Linked DNA regions of Cricetulus griseus. Each later gene encodes a partner of the first gene's protein in a complex. Links are inferred from orthologs where the notes say so. Each region holds a gene or a part of one and is shown in the gene's direction. Other genes may lie near its edges.

Region 1 (4,239 bases):
GTTTACCTGAAGCCACGAAAAGAAAATTTCCTATCTATTGTTCACTTATTCTTTAGACTAAAATCACTAAACCTTCAGAGGGAAAGAAATTTATTCCCCTTCCCAAGTGCTGTGTGGAAATAGTACTTTTACAAAAAAGAAAAGAAAAAGACATGCACAATTTCTGGTGCTCAACAAGAAACTGCAATACAATGACCTGCTCTTCAGACTGAAGATGCAGTAGCAGGCAATATGTATATCGTGGCAGCCTTGCCATTATAAGAATCGTCCTGTACTGGCCGACTGCACTTAGGACCTCTGGGCGCCCCTGGCCAAGGCCCGCCCCTTCCGCTCTCAGGACGTGAGGAATGCGTTCAGCAAGGGAATGGCTCACCCCAAGACCGGATACTCGGTAATTTGTTTTTCCGGCACGAACAAACGACCTATTCCCACACTCTATTAAATAAACACCTCCTCCTCTGCAAAAGTAATAACGAAGTAATCCAGGAAAATGCGATGATCGAGGGTGGCAGTTTCCCTTCCTCAAGCACCAGCCAGGAATACATTTTTTTTTCCCATTCCTACTCCCCTCTGGTCGAGTGATCGATGAGCTGCTCCGGAAAAACCGGAAATGCTCCTGCAAGCGGCAGAAATGCAAACAATAACAGGGTCGGCGGGCCTTTCAGATCCAGACAATTAGTTCGGGCCACAAATGCAAACACTTCTCACTAGCGAGACTGACAGTTTTTCTTTGGACTTTCTTCGACTAGCAGGGTTGGGGTGGGGCTGGAAAAAAAAAATCACTCCAGGAACAAAGGTCCGGAAGTTGGAGACCTTAACAGCAGGACTTCCCGGATCACCCCGATTTAATTAAGGAATGGAGCCCGAGATTTCATTAGGATGCTAGGGGCTCTAAAGTCTTAAGCTGTGAATCTTGAAAGATCTCACATCACAGTGCTTTGTGCATGTTATTCCTGGGGCTTCCACCACCCAGCAGCTAGTCGATAAGTGTGTGGCGGGGAGAAAAGCGCCGGCTCAGTGGTCCCCAAATTCTCTATGTACTTCTTCTCAGGTGTTCGGCTGCTTGGTCCTAGCATCCCCACCATCTACATTCATCTACATCATGCTCAAGATTGTATTCATGGTCATCTCGCCCGCCAAGTTTCCATTCACCCCACCTCGCCCAACCTGCTGAGTCCCCCACTGCCCCACCCCCCAAACCCCGCGATTCTCTCTAGCCTCCAATTATGCGAACCGAGAGCCGGTGACTCAGAGAGGACTCATCAGGCTCACCCGGTAACTTACCAGGTCTTCAGGGGGGAGCGTGTTACCCCGCTGGGAAGTAGATTCCGGACCCGGATGCCAGGGACCCCCTGATCCCAATAGCTACCTGCAGCCAGGATGGTAGACTCCAGCACAAAACTTTTCAGGAGCACATGGGAGGGGAAAGTCCCTATCCCAGCATTCCTCGCGAGACTGCTGGCACAAAGCTGGATAGTCGCCATGACAAGTAAGGGCAAGCCATTCTGTGGGTGGAGGGCAAGAAGCGGAGGGGAGGGGCAGTTACACAGCCGGGATTCTTTCTGCGTTGTTGCCATCCATTCGATCGCTTTGTGAGAAGTACTCTAAGACGGAGCTGTGAGGGCAAAACTGGTGGAAACCGCTTCGGAAGAGCGCTGAACACTGCTCTTTCCGATCTAGCTGTATAGTTGGAGTCGTCTTCTTTTTGGCTTTTTGAAACAGTGTCTTTATAGCCAGGCTGGCCTCGAACTCGCGGCAGCCCAACTGCTTTAGCCTCCCACGTATAGGGATGAGCCAACGCGGGCAGCGGTTTTTTTTTTTTTTTTTTTTTCTCACCAGCTAAAATGTCACTTTAGAAAGGCTTTTCTTAATATCTCAATCTAACGTGTTCTCCAAGATACTTCATATCACACCATCTTGTTTAATTTCCTGTACAGTCCTTATCACTATCTGTGGAGAGTGTTTTCACAGCCTTCAATTGCACAGCCACGACAATTTTATGGGCATAGAGAATTTGCAAATTGTTTTCTCTAGTTCCTCGTATGCTGCTGGGTAGGAAGTAAGAGCGTGATAATAAATGTTGAAAGGAAGAAGGGAGGGAGGGGGGAAGGAAGGGAGGTGGGATGGACAGGATGGGAGAATGAAGGGAGGGAGAGTGGGAGAAGAGGGAGAGAGGGAGAAAGGAAATCTTTTGAGGTTGCCCGACTCAAAACGAGATTCAAGAAGGGCAAAACTGTAGAAATTCAGCGCCCTCTGCAGGTCATGGAGGGAAGGTACCTTAAGAATCACCCCAGCGGACGGTAGGGGGAACGCGTGTACTCTTCTCCAAGTCAAAGAGAAGACTACAACTCCCAGAATCCTCTAAGAATTCTCTAGCGCTTGAGGGCTGGGCCCCCTCGTTCCTTCCCGCCTCACCGCTCAGACGCTAATTAGGATGCAGAGAACCAATTGGAAGGTGGCCCGACTCCCGCGAGAGCAAGAAGCGCTGGCGGCGCGTAGCGACCCCAGGTGCTTTGCTCTCTGCTTTGGTTTCCCGGTGTTTGCTCACTGTTGCTGGCTTCGGCTTACTCTTCCCGGAAGAGTAAGGCAGGCACGTTGGGGCTGTGCAGTTCTGCACCCGGATTCCTGGGGACTTTAATGCAGTGTGGCCTCAGCAGCTGGCAGCCGGTGCAACGAGGCTTGCCCGGCCCCTGACCTCCTAGCTTGCTCTACAGAATGAAGACGTCGGAGGAGCGACTCTTAGTCCCGGACAGTCTCTCTTCTGACCAGGCCCCAGCTCCAGTGCCCCAAGGGACCCCTGTGGATGAAAATACAGACTCTGAACCGGTGCCACCGCCATGCGGTGGAGATGACCGACCCCAGGTAGCCACAGATTCTGTGGCTGGCTCGGTTGTGTTCCAGGATCCGCAACAAGGGGATCTAGTTCCTCCCTCCGCTCCCCTGGAAGTAGGGTTTAATACTCCCGGTGAGTCGAGCCCTCGAATCGAGGAGCAAGAACTTTCTGAAAATGCGAGCCTTCCTGTGACAGAAACGAATCGGCCTGAGTTGGAGTCAGGAGAAGCCGTGGAAGATGTGTCTGAAGAACCCGGTCAAGTGGATGAGGGAGACACGTAAGTGACTCTGGAGTCCGAGGAGCCTGGACATAGGAAAACGACAGCCTCCAGTCCTCAGCTCCGCCCCAGGCCCATTTTGCTGTAACTTACCCGTTTGTTGTTCTCCATCTCTTTTCTAGCTTTTGGACCTACAGCTTTTCACAGGTACCCCGATACCTCAGCGGTTCCTGGTCCGAGTTCAGCACCCACTCTGAGAACTTCTTAAAAGGTTGTAAGTGGTAAGTACAACGGGCAGGGAGATGACCACCTTCAGGGTTTTCATCTTAAAGCCCACCCGTATTTGACCCGTCGTAGTTGGACAGCCCTGTAATCTCAACATCTTGGAAACAGGGAGGATTGGGGGTTGGAGGTCTGCCTTGTCCATAGAGTGAGAGACCCTGTCTTAAAATAAGAACAAAAACTAGTCTGGGTGGTGGTGGCACATGCCACTCGGCAGAGAGGCAGGAGGATCTCTGAGTTCAGAGGCCAGCCTGGTCTACAGAGCGAGTTCTGTGTAGCCAGGGCTACACAGAAAACCCTGTCTCAGAAAAAAAAAAAAAAACAAAAAACAAAAACACAAACAAACATACTTATCTGGAGGTGGTTAAGGAATAAGAATACTGGTTAGTACCCAGGTTAAGGGTTTTTTCTTTTCATTGTCCTGTCGATCTTTCCTTCCATTTCTAGTACTGTGGATTTAGCCTAGGGTGTCCATCATGCTCGCCTGACCCTCACCAGTAGGCTACATCCTAGACTTTTTTTTTTTTTTTTGCTTTGTTTTGAGATACGGCCCTGCCAAGTTGTCCAGACTGGCCTGGAACTTGAGGTCCTCTGCCTCAGTCTCTCAGTAGCTGTGTGCCACCACTCTCCGCATGAGCTGAAGTTTTACCTAGGACTGATTGGTGTCTTCTCAAGGGCATATGTACTAAGATAGTTCTAGACCTACACCTGGAAATCATAGGTCTGTTCAGTTTTCTAATTTCCCTATGTTTTTAGGGCTCCTGATGGTTCCTGTATCTTGACCAATAGTGCTGATAACACTCTGCGGATTTACAACCTGCCCCCAGAGCTGTACAGTGAGGCAGAGCAGGTGGACTATGCAGAAATGGTAAGGGGAGTTGCTGACTCTGTCCCTTTGCCGGGCCTA
Region 2 (2,606 bases), on another chromosome or scaffold:
GTGTGTGTTAAACGGTAGACAACAACAAAAACCACACAAAACAAACAAAAAACCCAGGGCATGCAAAATAAAATACGCAGCAGCAAGCATTCTTTCCATCCATTTCCCTGTAACCAAATCCTCCTCCAAGCCAGAAGATGCCGATATTAACTGTTTCTAGTACATTCCCGCCCCTCGCAAAATCTCGTGCATGTGTACACGTGTACACGTGTACACACACACACACACACACACACACACACACACACACACACACCACACACACACACACACACACATACACACACACACACACACACACACACCGTTTGGCTTTTTGTTTCTCAGTTTAAAGCAGGGTCTTACTGCTCGAATACTGCTCAGGTCGGCCTTGAACCTACTGGTTGCTAGAGATCCTTCCGCCTCAGCCTCCGGACTTCTGGGGTTACAAGCCGGTGTTAAACTCCCTAGTTTTTTTTAATATATCTTATGAGACGACAAGTAAACCAACTATATTCATTACTAAAAAAAAAAAAGAAAAAAAGAGAAAAAAAACTAAAGTTTTTCTGGCTATAAATTTAATATGTTACAATATTTTTGCCACTATGAATAGTGCTACAATGGTCATTTTGCAATATCTTGGTTTTAATTTTAATTTTTCTAAACTAGACTCTTATAAGACTTTTTATCTTTGAAAAACTGGAAATACTCCAAGAAAGTTACCTTACTGTGATATTATTCGCTACTCACCATGTAAGAAAGAGATGAATTTGTGGTCAGGTCCTGAGTTTGAATCTTGGTGCAGCCTCTAAAACAAAATTCACCAGTTTCATAAGAAAACCTTTACGTTCTTTTCGCTTTGCATAATATCGAATACCCATCATGCACTCTTTACCGCCAACACTTTGAAATGGGGCGGGGAACCGGATGTAAAAGTGGGGGTCTGAAAAAAATCTTACATCTTCCCTAGGATATAGGAGGTTGAGTATCCTGGAACCCTTGTTTCTCCAGGAACTACAAAACTAATGCCTCTGAAATGGGTGAGCAATTTGAGAGTAAAGACAGGACTGGATGCATCAACATTTAACCCACACCCATCCCTACCTCCCAACGTCTGGGAGTCCCTGGCACACAGTGGGCAATTCCATGGCTCTTTGCAAGGCAACTTTGCAAGGTTGTAGCTAGTTGGGAAGACCAAGGCCAAGTTCTGCTCCACTGTGCCCCCTTCTGGTCAACTGGATATGACTGGAGAAATGGACTACATTTCCCGGCATGCCTTGTACCGACTTCCGGTCAGATGGGAAGGATGTTGGCGAACACGGTTGAGGCGGTGTATTCCAGGCAAACGCGCCTGGCTGCGGAAGAGTGAGGATCTTCGTGCTGAGTTGCAGTCATGTTTCTCCAGTATTACCTCAACGAGCAGGGCGATCGCGTCTATACGTTGAAGGTAAGGGGAGAAAACAGCTGTAAGTCGGGAGGACAAGAAATTTAGGTGGGAGGAACAGTTGGAACCGGCCGCCGGCCAGCGCAGCCGGGTGCTTGGAGCCACGTCCGGGCCGAAACGTGGTAGATGCCGGCATTGCACGACTTCTTGTTCTGACCGCCGCGTCTCCTGGCTTCAGCTTTCCCATTTTCTTGTTGTCCCCTTGCTAGCACACCACTCATGTATTGAGATCATTTTCTTTTTTTCCTCGAGCAGAAATTTGACCCTATGGGACAACAGACTTGCTCTGCCCATCCTGCTCGGTTCTCCCCTGACGACAAATACTCAAGACACCGAATCACCATCAAGAGACGCTTCAAGGTGCTCATGACCCAGCAACCGCGTCCTGTTCTCTGAGGGTTCGTTAATTTTCATGTGCTGCCCTACCCCAGGCCGATTATCAATAACCAAAGGCGTCAGTCCGTGAGCAGTGAAGCCTTCCCATGCTGTTTGGAATCCTATCTTACTACGTGACTGAGTCTGTCGTGATGGGCATCGCCTGTAAAAGGAACAGTCTTAACTTTTTTTTTTTTTTTATGCTTTGAATTACTGCCAGGTTATTAAAGAGACAATGTCTTGAAAGTTCATTTTGTGTGTGATTGGAGGGAAAGATGGGGGAGTGTAGTGCCGTTGCTAGTACAAGGCCACTTGAGAACAATGGTAAGCCCTCACTTTTGAAGTAGCAATGCGCCATGAGTGTTAGGGTGTTGGGGAAGAAAGGCTGAGAAAGACTCCTACAAAGGTCAGCGTTCACTGAAAATATACTCCAGTCCCTGGAGTAAATTGTGGCCCCTTTAAATAACATTCCGAATTCCTCAAAGAATAATAAAGGCATAAAGACTTAATTGGCAGTTACGAAACTGGTACTGTTACCCCCTCTTTAAGGAGTAAAGGCACTCAACTTGTTTAGTCCTCGTTTTTGTTTTTGTTTTTTTCCTCAATTTTAAGAGTGGGAAGGAGCCTGGCGGTGGTGGCGACGCCTTTAATCCCAGCACTCAGGAGGCAGAGAGGCAGGCAGAACTCTTGAGTTCAAGGCCAGCCTGGTCTACAAATCGAGTGCCAGGCCAGGCTGCAAAGCCACAGAGAAACCCGGTCTCGAAAAAACCCCCCCAAAAAAAAAAAAGAAAAAGAAAAGTGTGTGTGT

Evidence for each region. The genes of interacting proteins can lie anywhere in the genome.
Region 2: Wrap53 (region 1) and Nop10 share a complex: the UniProt entries of both Homo sapiens proteins name them as parts of the telomerase holoenzyme complex. The link is inferred for Cricetulus griseus from reciprocal best matches to the Homo sapiens genes WRAP53 and NOP10.

Annotation. Positions count from the first base shown.
Region 1 is NC_048600.1:83,418,769-83,423,007, reverse strand, and holds the start of Wrap53 (telomerase Cajal body protein 1), read left to right. Parts: upstream 1-1,358; 5' UTR 1,359-1,415; coding exon 1,416-1,489; intron 1,490-2,714; coding exon 2,715-3,110; intron 3,111-3,232; coding exon 3,233-3,331; intron 3,332-4,088; coding exon 4,089-4,200; intron 4,201-4,239. UniProt on the Homo sapiens protein: RNA chaperone that plays a key role in telomere maintenance and RNA localization to Cajal bodies. Specifically recognizes and binds the Cajal body box (CAB box) present in both small Cajal body RNAs (scaRNAs) and telomerase RNA template component (TERC).
Region 2 is NC_048599.1:66,084,291-66,086,896, reverse strand, and holds Nop10 (H/ACA ribonucleoprotein complex subunit 3), read left to right. Parts: upstream 1-1,284; 5' UTR 1,285-1,372; coding exon 1,373-1,426; intron 1,427-1,678; coding exon 1,679-1,819; 3' UTR 1,820-2,049; downstream 2,050-2,606. UniProt on the Homo sapiens protein: Required for ribosome biogenesis and telomere maintenance. Part of the H/ACA small nucleolar ribonucleoprotein (H/ACA snoRNP) complex, which catalyzes pseudouridylation of rRNA.